2 linked regions of the Notamacropus eugenii genome follow. The protein of the gene in region 1 purifies or fractionates together with the protein of each later gene. This does not show direct contact. Links are inferred from orthologs where the notes say so. Each region holds a gene or a part of one and is shown on either strand. Other genes may lie near its edges.

Region 1 (7,965 bases):
CCTGTGATGTAAGCAAATTCCCCTGTCAGTCATTCTCAGTCTTTTGTAGTTTCCCTTTGGGGTGGGGGTGGGGATGGACTGTTGGTTGGAGGGAAGAGTTGTGTTTCAGAGATTAACATCATTTACTTGCTGTTCTTGGCTCTTCTGTCTGCCTCCTGGGCATGACTTATATAGACTGCTTGCCAGGCCAAAGACACCCACCTTGGTCTAAACACTAATGTTCATTTCCTTCATGGGCCTGCGATAAACAGATAAGGCTTAGACAGGAATCATCAAGATACTCTGATTTGCCTTATGGGCAAGTCATAGGTCCCAAGAGGTAGTCCAGTGATTGAATATTGTTTAAACCAGAACTTAAACTACCCTTTGATAGTTTGGTGAGTGAAGCCTACTGACCCCTTCTCAGAATAATGTTTTTAAATGCATAAAATAAAATGTATAGCGTTACAACGGAAACCAATCATATTGAAATAAGTATATCATTTTCCCATCCAAGTTCATGGACTTGAATCACTGATTGAAATCTATCTAAGCCTCTTCCCCACCTTAAGAACCTTTGGTTTTTAATGGAAAGCTGGAATGGGGGAGGTGAGTTCCCTGGACTAGGGCAGAATTAATAGAAGCCAGTACACTACTCACACCTCGATCTGACTGATAAGATTCATCATCCTCAAATCTGCAGTCCTATAAATTGTAGAAGGTCATAACTGGTGGAGGCAAAGGAATGGGAATGGAGACCTTACAGAACAGTGAAGTTTAGAAACAGCTAAAGTTTAGCGCTTTAAGGAACCTTAAAAATTCCAGACCAGTGATAGGATCAGTGGGTTGATGCCACTTTGCAAGTAATGATAAAGAAATGGTGAACCACATCAAGGTGGCCAGATCAAAGGACCATAGGGGATAAAGAGTTCTCAACACTGGTCAAATTCCCTGAGAATTCTTACCTAGACAAGTTAGCTACTTCATCTAAAGAATTTCAAATCCTGTTTTGGAGTCCCTAGAGAGGAAAGGGGCTTACTCAATTCCTCCAGGGTATGGGGGCGGGTGTGGGGGGTAATGACTCCTAACAGATAGAGTGAAATCAAGGTCAGGAAAAGACCAGCAGTTCTAGGTAGGTCAGAGCAAAACTGGGATTGGAACCCCTGGTCCTCTTTGGCTACTGTGCCTTCCTCAGTATCATATTGCCTTCCTAAACCATCTTGATGGTTTGCTAAACTCAGGGATCATAGGAACATAGATTTAGAGCTAGAGGGGACCTTAGTGGCCATGAGGGGCATACTCATAAAATACTTAATCTCAAAAACAAATGAATAACTGTATGCATGACACTTCTGAGTTTAATCTGAATTATTACTATTTTTAATCACTTTCTTAAATCTAGATGATCAACAAAACAATAAATCAAGCCCAGATTAGTACCTTCTGCAAATTTCTGAGGTATAAATGCTGAAATTGAAAATTTAACCAGAGGCAGCTAGGTGTAGGACAGATTAGAGCCCCAGCCCTTGAATCAGGAGGACCTGAGTTCAAATTTGGCCTCAGATGCTTAGTAACTGTGTGATCTTGGGCAAGTCACTTAACCCCAAATGAAAGAGAGAGAGAGAGAGAGAGACAGAGAGAGAATTTGACCATTGACTGTCAAGCTCCTGGCTCTCCAAGTGACTCCAGCACATTCCTGGAGGTCATCAATTTCAACCTGCATTTTACAGATGAGGAGACTGAGGCTGAAGGATGTTAAGTGACTAGCCCAGAGTCACAGAGCTAGTAAGTAGTTGAGGCAGAATTTGATCACAGGTCTTGCTGATGCCAAGTCTATGGCTCTATATACTGGTTCACCTACCTGGTCCACGTTCCCACTGGTAAAATGGTTGAAGGCTTTATCCTGTCTCTCAGTGGAGGGGGCAGAGGGAGTCTGAGACTGAATTGCCTCCCAGGCCTGCTCTGGGGCAGGCTGTCTTCTCTTCCCTCTATCGTAAGAGCAACAAGAGCATCTGACTACAAAATGGTACCTGAGGTACCAGGATCCCCTCATTTCTGCTCATGGTGGCTCCTTCAAAAGCCATGGAGCTGACAAGGCTAACCCTGGCCCTGGTTTCTACAACCAATAACCATATCAATGACTCTGTGGTTTAAAAAATGTTTTCCTCCCTACAAACCAGAGAGGGAAGTAATGTAGGTGTTAACACCTCAATTGAGCAAGGGGAACTGAAATAAGTGACTTGTCTAAGGTCAGACAGCTTTTCTAATTCCTGAATCCTGGGTTATTTCCATTTCTGTAGGAGACATTTCTACTTCTGTAAAAGGAGCTTGGGAACAGGAAAGAAGACTGATACTCACGGGAATCAGGGGAGGACCCCTTTAGGAACCTGGTCTTCCTATAACCCTTACCCTGAAAGCACACCCCCACCCCCACCCCCCACTAACCTGTTCATAGGCCCTCATGGTTCCTGGAAATGTCAGCTGGAGATGTCATCTTGGGCTTCCACCAGCAGCTGCTGGAATCCATCTAGAGGACTGTGGTTGTCTGGGGAAAGGGGGTGAGGGGGATCCCTGTGAGGAAATAGACTAGAGATCGATGCCTCCCATCCCAATCTCTGCCCTGCCCCCACCAGATGCAAGGTTAGCAGGAATGGGAGATATCTGTGGAGTTCTTTTTTGTCTACTGGATGAAATGATTGAGTCTGTATAGAAACAAACCTTTGCATCAGGTGTGGGCTAAACTCGATAACAACATAAATTGTGCGACCTAGCTTCATCCCTTCAGACTCAGAAAATAGAAAGGACAACAGAGACTGGACATAGAAGAACTTTTCTCTCTCTTCCCTGAGCCTTCATTTTGCTTTCCTATTTATCCTATTATTCACTCTCTTTTCCTCCTTCCCTACGTCTCTCTCCCATTCTCTCTCTGACTCTCTGTCTCCTCTCCTCTCTCTCTCTCTCTCTCTGACTCTCTGTCTCCTCTCTCTCTCTCTCTCTCTGACTCTCTGTCTTCTCTCTCTCTCTCTCTCTCTCTCTCTGTCTCTCTGTCTTCTCTCTCTCTCTCTCTCTCTCTGTCTGTCTCCCTCTCTTCCCTCACTCCTAGAGACACCTGAATAGAGAACTTGGCCCAGTGGAAGAAGTACTCACTAGGCTGGGAGTCTAGAAAACTGAGTTCTAGTCTTTCTACTGCCAGAAATGACATGTGACCATCTCAGCTTGATCTAAGTGAGAACTCTAACAATTACAGTTATCTGAAAATGGAATGGGCTACCTCTTTTCACAATCTATAATGAATCCTCGAGACTTTTGAGTTTTTCAAGTGGAGGCCAATCAATTGATGCCTCATTTAAGGATGTTATAGACAAGATTTATGCTTTGGGTATGGATTGGATCAGATAATCTCTGTCATTTCTTCTGTTTTTCTATGAAAGTCACTTCACCTTTGGGGGGCCTTAGTTTCCTAATCTGTAAAAATTAAGTGCCTGGATTAGATTATCTTTGAGGTCTTTTCTGCCTTTGCTATTCTACCAATTTAAAAGAGCTGTTGTGAGGGTTGTGCTTTACAAACTATACAGAGCTATAGAAATGCAAACTACATACAGTGACGTAGTTATTTCCAGGGGAAAGGGTGAGTCCCAAAGTCATCCTACTTCAGAAAGCATTTCCCACAGTCAGTTTTTTTCTCTGATGTTTCTTGAATTGTTAAGAATCCTCAACAGAACTAAATGTCTGCTTCAATTAGAGGGTACTAATGATGTGAGGGTTTTGATCAATACATCAATTAACAAGTCTCTGTGCTTGAGTACATGCTACATACTATGTGCAAACCTCTGGACGTACAAATAATAGTGATGGGGACTAGGTTATGATTACATTAATAATAAGGAACTTCTAGATAAGAAAAACTCCTCACTAATGCAGGTAAGCATTTCAAGGGCTGCAAATGAGAGTGGCTTTACCAACATTTAACATTTATTAAGCACTTACTATGTGCCAGAGGCTAACAATACAAAGGTGAAACAGCAGTACCATTCAGGAGTTCACCATATACTAGGGTTAAACACGAGAAATATGACAGATACACAGATAAGCATAGCACAAGATAAAGGTGATCGGAGCAAATGAAAGGGGCACACCACGGTGCTTTTTGAAAATTTGTGTCTTTTAGCCGGAGGGAATCAAGGCAGACTTCAAGAAGGAGGCAGAGACTATAGTCCTAAGGATTTAAAATAAGGGTTCATCTGGGATCTGAGAATTTGTGTGCATTTTAAAATATGTCTTTCTAATCCTACGTACTTTATTGTGTGCACCCAAAAGAATTGTTCAGAGAAAGAGTGGGAGCAACCGGCTTCATCAGAATGCCAAAGCGGTCCATGACAAAAAAGGTTAATGACCTCTGGTTTAAAAGATTGATATCCCGTCCTCTCGCCTACGTCCTCCCATACAAAGTCCTAGAGCAGCTGAAGCAGAGCTGCTGACATCATGACATCATCCTACATCGCTAGGGAAAATCTTACAATGAGATCCCAAATAGAGAGAGTTGAACCCTGTCCGAGCGCCACAAACGGAGCGGTTTAACTCTATGGCTGGGAAATTCCGCAGCCCTCGAGAACCAGCAACCCTCAGCTCATTCTTATGACTTCCCCCCAAAGAATCCCTTCCACTCTCTGTCAGAGTCCTTCGTCCCCCTCCTCCCTTTCTCCATCCCTGGTTACTGAAGGCCAAGAGGGCAGGACCTTCATTGACACCTTTTGCAGACACGCTGAAAGGGGAGGAGGGAGTCTGGGGCGAAGACTGGGATGAGCCAATCGTAACGTCCCGAGTCACGTGCGGCCTGGTATCTGACCAATGGGCGGTTGAAGGCGGGGCCAGACTGCAGGGGGCTTGTAACTTTTATTGGAACTTGGAACATTGAGTCTCCGTCAGTTTCCTCGATTTGTAAGTTTCGTTCTCGGCCTCTAGGCAGCTTACACATGTGCCCCGGGCCCCTGCGCAGCTGAGCTTTCCTGGTGGCGGCTGCTGCTGCTTTTTCTCCTTGGTTCTGAGCTGCGTCTCCTGCTTCTCCTTCCTCTCTCCATGGAGGCTTTCACTTTCCCCAAACGTTCCAGCCTGGCTTCCTCTCCTTCCGTGGGGCTTGCCTTGCCTCTGGCAGACGGTCTCATCAAGTCTCCCAAGCCCCTGATGAAGAAGCAGGCGGTAAAGCGGCATCATCACAAGCACAATTTGCGGCACCGCTATGAGTTCCTGGAGACCCTGGGCAAAGGGACCTACGGAAAGGTGCAGAAAGCAAGAGAGCGATCGGGAAGACTGGTGAGTCCCGAGTACTTGGCTTTGGCCGGGAGGGGGGAGTCTATGCAGCTTTCGAAGAGCCTGAATGATGGGAAAGGGAACCGAGGGAGCGAGGGAGCCTGGCCCCAATTTAGATACCCAGAGCTTTCAGTGAAAGGGTGAGCGAGACCTCCTCATCCGTGTACTTCCTCTTGGAAAAAAAAATCCAACCATCTGGTAGTTCAGATTCGATAAGCAAGGAGAAAGGGGGATGAGAAGTGAATTCTTGAAGTACCTACATAGGTACCTATGAATATTTTCTCTCAAGGATGGTAGAGAGGAATGATGTGTTTTATTAGGGAACATCTCTGATCCCTGAGATCCACCTGTCAGCCCCTCAGCAGAGGCGGGTTGCTGGCTGCCTCTGGGGAAAAGTATGCTATTATCCCATTGTCTCTTGGTTTTTCTCTTTTCGGTTTCCATCCGGGCTCAATTTAAAGACAAACCTGCCCCCACCCCCTTTTGCGTGGAGAAAGAAAAGCAGAGATTGCAAAGGACCTTTGGGGACTGTGGATGATGAGCCAGAGGACTTCTGGGGATTGGGTTAAGCAGGAGTCTGCTTTGTGTAAACTGGTTTCTAGAAGCATTGAGAGTAGGGCTTCAGTATGCCCCTCTAAGGCTTGGGGAGAGAGGAGATCATCATAGCTCAAACTAGGTCCCTGGGATCTGAAAAAGAAGCCAGTGGTTATTTAGAGTGGGAAGTACAAAACCCCCTAAAGAAGGCATTCTATTAGGAGAAGGTTGTGGGGATTTTTTATGTTGGTTTTTTTTTTTGTTTGTTTCTTTTTTTAATGTCCTTAAAGGTCAAGGTTTACTATATTGGATCTGACCCCAGTCTCCACCCTTTACTTGGTGTTTGCTGCTTTTGTTTTTAGTTGCTGATTTGAAATGCAAAAAGTCATTCATTGGTGAAGGAGATGGCTGGGGATGGGTGGAGTTGGGGAATGGATTATGAACCAATCAATAGAATTGTGTGTGTTTTCACTTCTAATGCCTGGCACTGTCCCCAGATTCTGGCTGCCAGCTTGGAGCTGTTGGGCAATACTGTACTTAACTTTTCCCTGTTTCTGAAGTAGGAGAGCCAGGTGAGGAGGATCCGGGTTTTGAGATTGCCTGGTCTAAGCCTTTAGTCTGCTCTTGTTGGATTGAAATGAGTTTCTCATGCCCCTGCCTCCTTTCCCTCTCCTTGACCCCCAAAGAGAGGTGTATCCTCAAGGTATCAAGGACCTCAGAAGGGAGAACTAAGCAGCAACAGAATTTGGAAGTTAATGAGCAGTGCTGGGTACCAGGCCTTCTGTTCTAGAGAATTTAGGATAGCTGCCTCCCAATGATCACCACCAGATGTTTTTCTAGGGGATTGATACCAAAACTTCATACCCAAAGCTATATTCCCACCTTGAAAATAAGCTATCTAGCTATGGATAGACTCTCAATTCACAAGGCATCGACTCAGTCCCTGGGGAGAAAAGGGCACTTTCTTCAACTCTGGCGCCAACCACTTCAATCAGTCAGCAAGAATTTATATTTGGTAGTGTTTACTATATGCAGCTAGGTGGTGAAGTAGCTAGAACTTTGGGCCTAGTGTCAAAAAGATTTACTTCCTGAGTTCAAATCTGGCCTTAGACACTTGCCAGCAGTGTGACCCTCGGCAGATCTTTTAACTGTTTTCCTCAGTTTCCTCATCTGTAAAATAAGCTGGAGAAGGAAATGGCAAGCCACTCCATTTCTACAAATAGTATTTTATTTTTTCCAATTACATAGAAAGACAATTTTCGACATTCTCTGATATCTTTACCAATGGAACCCCAGATGGAGTCACCAGAGTCAGACACAACAAAACAATTTTATATGCCAGGCTTTGTGTATCTCCTCCATGAAGTCTTCCTTAATTTCCCTCCCCTATTCCCTGTTGAAATGACTGATACTATTGTGCCTGGGACTCTTAGCACCCCTTACATTTCTGAAATCAGTTATTTTCGTGTCTACATGTCTTTACCTTCCGTTAGCATCAAGGATTTAAAGCTGAAAGGAGCCTTAGACCATCTAATTCAACTTCCTCATTTTGCAGATGAAGAAACTGAGGCCCAGAAAAGTGAACTAATTTGTTCAAAGTTACCCAGATAGTGATGGCAGAGACGTTAGACTTCTTCAGAGTGAGATCTGTATCATTTCTATCTTTGTACCCAGTGCCTTGAACACAACAGATATTTAATAAATAATTTTTTTAAACCTGGCATTTGTTGAAATTCAATTCCCAGGTATTTATGCTACCTTCCAAGAAAGGCTGTCCTGAGGGGTCCCTGTCTCCACCGCCCTAGGGTTGGGTTGGTAATATAAGGATCAGTGACTTTGCTCTTACCCCCAACCAGCTTGAGAAGGCATCATCAGAAGCCAGATGAAAGGAGGGACATTACTAATGGATACTCCAGAAAGGCATCAAAGGGAAAGCAAATATTTGCACTGGATCCTTCAGCCTCCTGAGAATACTCCTGGTATCTAGATGACATTTCCTCCTGTTCTTCCCCAGGAGGAAGCTCTAGGACCTGTGCCCCCAGCCTAGAGACACTTGCCTCCTCCTAGACCTGCTGTGTTAACCCTCTTCTCTCACCCTCATACACATGGCCTGAGTTCCCTGTATAGAATACTACTGACTTCAGA
Region 2 (7,562 bases), on another chromosome or scaffold:
TTTGGGTGAGGACTGAGAGAGTTGGGCTAGAACTTAGGCATGCTACATAAAAGCATACAGTACCATACAATAAAGTGTTTGAAATATGAAGACATGGGATTAATTCTGATTCTGATACTAACTGTGATTTAGGGCAGTTTCTTAAGGAAACAAAGGCCCAAACAAGCTATTTGTAAAAAGAGTTGAACTACGTAGCAATTTTCAAGGTCTTTTCCAGGTCTAAGTGCTATAAAGGAATCATAATTAAGTTTTTTCTCTTCATCGCTGTCGAATTAGCTATCTTTTAATGTATTATGTATTAATGAAGCAAATTTCTTTTAGTAATAATAACTTATGGTTCCATCAGTATTAACACTGGGTTATCATGGAATACATTCTGAAACTGAGATTAAGAGAAAGAAAAATCTAGGTAAACCCAAACCTGTGTATGTATTGTCCACAGTTGTCTTTTGACAGGTAGTCCTCAAAAGTAGGTTCACTGTAGTTTATATTTTGTTACTCATATTTATAAGGCCTTAAAGTTTGAAAATGACTTTTCTTACAAGACTACTAGCTATATAAAAGAATTATTATCCCATTTAATAGATGAGGAAAATAAGGCTGAATGATTTTTTTTTGAGTGACTAAGTGACAAACCACAATGACACTACTAGGAAGTTGTACTCAAAAGTTGGACCTGGAAGCAGGACTCAAACTTAAGCCTCTGGTTCTTTCTGTAGTGCTCTTACTATTGTATAAGTATTTCATCTCGACTATGAATTATTTTACATCTTGTAGCAACAGTCAAAAACAAGGCATGGCCACCTCTTTATCTTGTCTCTGTTCCCAAAACAGGTATTTGGGGCTATTTTTCAAGGCTTTTATAAGAGCTATCAAATAGACCCAAATATTCTTGGAAAACAGCTATCTAAGGCTAAATGGTGACCCTTGGTTCTTCTCTGGGTTATTCTGATTGGGTTTCTTGGGGGGTGGAGAAAACAGTAGCTGACAAGAAAGGATTTTTTCCAATTGCTTTCCATAATCGAGAGCTGAGACCTTTCAAAGGTATGGCAGATGTCCTAGGCATGGCCTTTAGGGACCCTTTTACTGCTTTGTGGTGCTAACTCTAAACATGAGAAAAAATTTTGATTAAGGATTTGTATTATTGTAGTAACATAGTTTTTTAAAATTAAATATGTAATATTAAGTATGTACATTGCCCTACTAGGTGGTGGAGGCATACAAAAGACGCTGAATTCTCCTTAAACTTGTTACTTCAGCAACAAATTGCACCAGGTTACTTAAAGAGCAAAGGAACATATAAAGGGGGCACAAAACAGTGCTGTGCTAAGAACACTAGATCTGCGCTTCTAGTCATAGTTTGAAAGCTGGAATCTAACCCCTTCATTTGGCAGAAGAGGAAACTGAAGTCCAGGGAGTTTAAATGGCTTTCCTAAAGTCACAAATGGAACAAGTGGCAGAGCTGAGAGCAGACCCCAAGTCCTGTGACTCCAAATCCATCATGCTTTCCTCTATACCACACTCAGAACTGGATTAGAATCTTGGTTCTGCAGTTTTCTACACGTAAGATCATGGGACAGATTCTGGGAGAGTCTGTGTCTCACATGCCTCATTTTCCCCATCTGCGCAAGTTCCCATGACTCAAGCACATTGTTACCTTCTCTGCCTCTTGTAGTCTCAGAGAGTTGCCTAGAATACTGAGAGGTCCAGTGATTTGCCCAGGATTACAAAGTGTGTATCAGAGGCTGGAGTTGATCCCAGGTCTACATGATGCTACTGCATATGAGATAAAGTACATGTTTCTGTATGTCATAAAGACCCATATATGATATTAATTATGCAAGAAAAATAAAGGATTTTAAATGTGGATAAGACAAAATTATCCCTCAGATCCAACTCTGAGAGTCTATAAAATGCAGTGGGGAGAAATAATAATTTCAAAATGCTTTACGCACATTATCTCACTTCATTGTCATAGCTCCATGGTCTTACTGTTTCAGTGACAAGATAGGAATTTGCATTTTCCTATGTCAAGGTTCAGTAGTCTTCTTTATCGCTGGTCTAGCATGATTAGGAGAGGACCACTACTGGGTATTACTAGTGACAAAGCACCTGCACTTGAGATTTAGGATTATCCAACCTTGTTCACTTATGTCCTATTCATCCTGACCCCATTTGGGATTTTCCTGGCAAAGATACTGGAGAGGTTTGCCATTTTCTTCTCCAGCGGACTAAGGCAAAGGGAGGTTAAGTGGCTTGCCCAAAGTCACACAGCCAGTATGAGGCTGGATTTGAACACAGGTCTTCCAGACTCTAGGCCCAGCTGAGTCACCTAGTTGCTTCCTTTATTTGACTTACCTGCTGCCTTACATTAGAAAGTTTATTCAGAATGTGAATACTTCCTTATTATTACCTCCCACAATTGTTAATCTCAGCCCAATTTTTTATTTGTTTTGTATCAGTTCTCCGTTTTTAATTACCTATATTTCTCCCTCTTTGAGGGTAGGGTTCACAACGTCAAGTAAATAAAAGGCATAATGTTTTTGGTGGGGTGGGACTTGTGATTTCTCCTGAAGAAGAAACTCTTACCAGTGTAAATCAGCATCAATTCAGTAATTTAAGTTGCCTAGGGGCACTGAGGGTTGTGACTTTCCTAGGGTAAAAAGAGCCTGTTAAGTCAAAGGAGGACAAGTTGAACCCAGGTCTTTCAGAATTAAGGTTCTTGTACCTACCAAGGTACCAATTATTGTACCTACCAAGGTACAATACCTCTCAATAAATGCTTGTGGAATTGAAACCAGTGCTTATTTAGCACAATGCATGACACATAGCACTTAATGAATGTTTACTGATTGACTGAAATAGGTGAGATAGCTATAGATACAAAGCTATACGGGGGCCCATGGCGTCATCTAGTCCTCATTTGTTTCAGTGGCCAGACCACTGGGCTGAGGAGTCAAAAGCCCTGGTTTTAATCTCACCTCTGAAATCTTAGCCAATTGACTTTATTTCCTTAGGCCTAACTCATCTATTAAATGAGAAGGTTGCACTAGATGGCCTCTAAATGATCTTATAGTTCTAGATCAAATAATCTTGATCATGCCCTGATAAGTTGAGAAGGAACAATATATTTTACTTCAAGTTGGAGGCATAGTATTAGGAAAAAAAAAAGAAAAAAAAAGGCCCTAAATGAGCAACTCCAGAGACTCACCTCTGATACTTTCTAGCTGTGTGACTAAGTCAAGTCACTTTAACCTCTCTGGGCCTCAGTTTCCTCATCTGCAAAGTGGAAGGATAATACCTGTACATCCTGCACAGGCTTGCTACATTAGAACCAAATGAGATCATGGATGCCAGCACCTATATAGACCTTGAAGTATAAATACCAGGATTACAGTCAAGCTCTGAGACTATCCCTCTGAAATACACTCCATATATCACAGAGGCATGACCTTGTAAACTGAAATGTGCTTTATAAATAGTTACAGTGAGGGATCACAGTAACCACAGATTTGGAGCTGGAAGGAACCTGAGAGGTCATCCAGCTCCCCCCCCCCCCCCATTTTACAGATGAGGTAACTGAGGAACTGTGAAGTTAAATGACTGGCCCAGGGTCCCACAGTTAGGGATGGTCAGCTATGGTATCTGAGCCTAGGTCTTCCACTATAAGAATGACAACATCCAAAATTGAAATATCGATTAAAGGTTTGCAAAGTACTTTATGTAAAATGGACTTTTCTGATCCTTACGGCTTGGGGAGGCTGTTATTAAAACACCCAGGTCTTTCTTTCTCTAAGAACAACTGCTAGCTAGCATTTCTAATTTGCCTTAAAGTTATTTTACCTGCGTTAGCTCATTTGATCCAGAAAAACAATCCTGGGAGGGAGGTGCTCTAATTACCCCCATTTTACAGATGGGGAAACTGAGGCACAGAAAGGTTGGGTTATTTTGTCCTTCCTGCCCCCGCGAAAGTGGGCATTATCCCCGTTTTACAGACGAGGAAACTGAGGCCGATTAGATGGGTGGGCCAGGGTCAGTCAGGGAGGGTCCGAGGCAGGATTCGAACCTGCGTCTTCCCGACATCAGACCCAGGTCTTGGATTGAGATGTCTCCGCACAGTCCCCGACGGGCGACGGCTCACAGTCAATCCGACCCCACCTTGGCCCACAAAGACAGTCCCCGCCCCTTCCCTTCCTCCGGTTCCGGAGGCTCTCGAGGCCCCACCCTCTTCCCCTCCGAAAACCACCGCGCCCGCTCTCGGCGGTTACCCTTCTCTTCCTCCTCCTCCTCCTCCTCCTCCGTGTGGGGAGGCAGGCAGACAGAGCATGCGCAGTGGGCGAAGGGCGCCTCCCCGCTCAACTCTCGCGATGTCTCCCTACGGGAGGCGGCTGGTGACGGGTAGCGGCCTGCCCTGAGAGGGGCGGGGGCGGGGGCGGGGGCGGGGAGGGAAAGAGTGTTTGTGTCCCGGCTCGGTCCGCCCGCCAGGTGCGCGCCGCCCCAGTGCTCTGTGGGAGACCGGAAGTCGTCTCCTCCTCCCGTCTCCTCCCTGCCTCCCCACACCCTCCTCCTCCTCCTCCTCCTCCTCGTCGCTCCGGCGCGCGCCCCCGCGCCCGCTCCCCCCCTCCACCTCTCCCCCCTCCCTCCCTCCCTCCTCCCCTCGCGATAAGAAGACCCGGCGGCCGGAGAGGGGGGGATGAAGATGGCGGACGCGAAGCAGAAGCGGAACGAGCAGCTGAAGCGCTGGATCGGCTCCGAGACGGACCTCGAGCCGCCCGTGGTGAAGCGCCAGAAGACCAAGGTGAAGTTCGACGACGGCGCCGTGTTCCTGGCGGCCTGCTCCAGCGGGGACACGGACGAGGTGCTCGAGCTGCTGCACCGCGGCGCCGACATCAACTACGCCAATGTGGACGGACTCACTGCCCTGCACCAGGTCTGTCCGAGCGCCGAGGCCCGGAGCCCCGTCCCCTCCCCCCCGGCCGGCCCGCCTGCCCGGGCCTGCGACCTCCCCGGGGAGAGACCTAGGACGGACGGGAAGGACGGCGCGGGGTGGGTCCGAGGCGTGGGAGTGGAGAGGAAAGAGGGGGTGATGGGCCAGCGCTGGGGGATCCCTCTTCTCTTCGCCAGCCGACGTGGACAGCCCGGCCGAGCCCTCCAGCACTTATTAAGCGCCTACTGTGTGTTGCCTTGTAAGCTGCAGGGCGAGCGTGCTTGGAGATCCCTCGTCGGTGTGTAAAGGGGGGGCATTTAGGGATCTGTGAGACTGGGGGAGTAGTCGGTGCGGGAGCGCTGCAGAAGCGCCTACTACGTGCCCAGAAACCCTTCTGCCCCCCAATACTGTGTGGGGGAGGGGGGCCGCCCGGGGACTTGGGGGACCGGATCCCCGCGGGCCTCGGGGCGATTTCCTGCCGGTCCCCCTCCCTGACTCTGGCGCCGCACTTCTCCTTGTAGGGCTGGACGTGGAGGGGGTGGGGGGGAGACAGTGAAGGGCTCCCCCCACCCCATCCCCCGCCGGAAGGTTGAAGTGGGGAGTCTGCTACGGAGCTTTGTGCCGCAGTGCCTGGGACCTTCCGTCCCTGCTCTCCCCTCTAGGGCCGGCTGTAGCGAAACTCGCCCATCGGTGACATGGAACTGTTCTGGAGTGGGGGGGGGGGGTCGGAGATCGTCTCGGGGTGCACGTCTCGAGGCCAGGTGGGGAGAAGGAAACTGGGAACTTTGCTCAAAATGGATGCTTTGTGCATGTTAAAGTTTTATAGTGGAGTCCGATCGGGATCTCTCAGTGTTAGCCAAATAAGGAGAGACCCTGGGCGATGCAGAGATAACGTGGAGCTTTGCCTTCCCCAGGCTCGAAGTCATGGTACCGAACCGCACACGGTTCGTCAGAGGAAAGCTGATGTTTGACTGAATGGTCGGAGTGGACAGCCTTGCGCACCTCTCTGCATCTCAGACCGAAGTGGGGTGTGAAGGCTGCGGCTTTGCTCTGAGCGATACCGTGGGGGCGAAGCTGAGGGCTTGGGTTTCATGTGTGTGAGCTTGCCTCATATTTTAGGGAGGTCTCTGAGCCCTTTGCCATTGACTGCTTTCAGTCTAAGTGAAATACGTACATTTGAAGTTTTGTTTCATGGGATCAGGCAAGTCTTTGTTTACCAAGTTAATTACGTGACTTAAAACTACTCACAAAGTAGTAGGGTAAAATGCCCCTCAAAATATGGTGGAGATGTCACTGTCTTCCTCTCATGTAACCCGTTCTAGCAAAATGATAGTTGTCTGAGGTTTGTTTTATGGTTAAGCTGATTACGCTTCATGCTTCAGGTGGTCAGAATGAAAAGGCATTTTCGTAAATTGATTTCCTTTCAAATTAAGATAAAATTCTAAATATGACCAGCCCTGGCAATTTGTGTCTTTATTCTTAGGGAGAAGAGCTTCATGCCTTTATAAGTCATTCTGTGCTGTTTATTTTGTTATGAAATACGGTTTTTGAAGAGGCAAATATAGTTGGGCAGACGTCAAGACCGTGAAGGGTTGGTTTTAGTATTTTAAAATGTTTCACCTTTTCTTCATTTGTCCCTGTTATAGCTGTGACCACAGTATATTTGAATGGGAGGAGAAAAGGGGTCATTTGTGATACGTTAATGACGATATTGGTTCAAACTCCACGATTTATATTTAGTGACTTTTCAGTTCCATTTCTATAGCTACTGTTTCAGTCTCTGTCTACACAGTGTCACAGCAATCACTTTGACTTGGTTTTAAACAAGTACTCATTTTTATTTTGGAGTTAGTGAGTTGAATTTTTGATACTCTGTAAACTTTAATGTATTTTAACTAGTTTATATAATTTATCTCATCATGTAAGTAGAAAGTCCTAGTTAGAAAAAACTTTTTTTGCATAAGAACTTTGAAGTATCTGATTTTTACAGCCCTCAGACTAGTGAAGTTTTATATTTTTTAAAATATGAAAGATAATTTTTTATTTTTTGTCATGTGTTTTTCTTAATTGGTATTTCTTGTGCACTAACCTTTTTGGACACTGAGTGTACTTTGCCATTGTGGTGAGGGAAGCAGGCACTTCTCTCTTGGAAAAGTGAAAAGAGTAGAGGATCTGGAAGTTCCAAAGGAAATTTGTTTGAAACAGAGAAAGCTGTTTGAAAGATCTTTAAGAGAGCTCCGCTACCTGTGTTTTATCAGCCACTGTAGTTCCTGCTGTAAGACAGACCTAATAACAAGGATGATAAAAAAGCTAATTCAATAATTTTTTTAATACTAATCCATTAAATAAAACCTCAAATATAATTGAGCGTTTTATATTTAATAACGTGTCAGCCGGACACATCAAAACATATTACAGTGCAGAAATTCTTAATGGATTAAATATTGGTCTGTTTTAGTTTATTAGTCTCTTCAACAAAAAAAATTGCGGATTTCACTTTGATGTGGAAAATCATTAAGAATTTCCTATTCCACTGATTAATATTCATTGTTCTGACATTTTGCTTATATAATTGCACTTTAATTTTAAAAAAATTATAGGATCATAGGTTTAGAACTGAAAGGTGGGACCTTAG

The links.
Region 2: the proteins of NUAK2 (region 1) and PPP1R12A purify together in Homo sapiens (affinity purification with mass spectrometry; 3 studies listed by BioGRID and IntAct, counting the BioPlex papers as one, with this or other methods). This does not show direct contact. The link is inferred for Notamacropus eugenii from reciprocal best matches to the Homo sapiens genes NUAK2 and PPP1R12A.

The regions. Positions count from the first base shown.
Region 1 is NC_092873.1:434,279,742-434,287,706, forward strand, and holds the start of NUAK2 (NUAK family SNF1-like kinase 2), read left to right. Parts: upstream 1-4,874; 5' UTR 4,875-5,055; coding exon 5,056-5,289; intron 5,290-7,965. UniProt on the Homo sapiens protein: Stress-activated kinase involved in tolerance to glucose starvation. Induces cell-cell detachment by increasing F-actin conversion to G-actin. Expression is induced by CD95 or TNF-alpha, via NF-kappa-B.
Region 2 is NC_092874.1:259,790,996-259,798,557, reverse strand, and holds the start of PPP1R12A (protein phosphatase 1 regulatory subunit 12A), read left to right. Parts: upstream 1-4,417; 5' UTR 4,418-4,693; coding exon 4,694-4,930; intron 4,931-5,074; exon of another isoform or gene 5,075-5,225; intron 5,226-7,562. UniProt on the Homo sapiens protein: Key regulator of protein phosphatase 1C (PPP1C). Mediates binding to myosin. As part of the PPP1C complex, involved in dephosphorylation of PLK1. Capable of inhibiting HIF1AN-dependent suppression of HIF1A activity.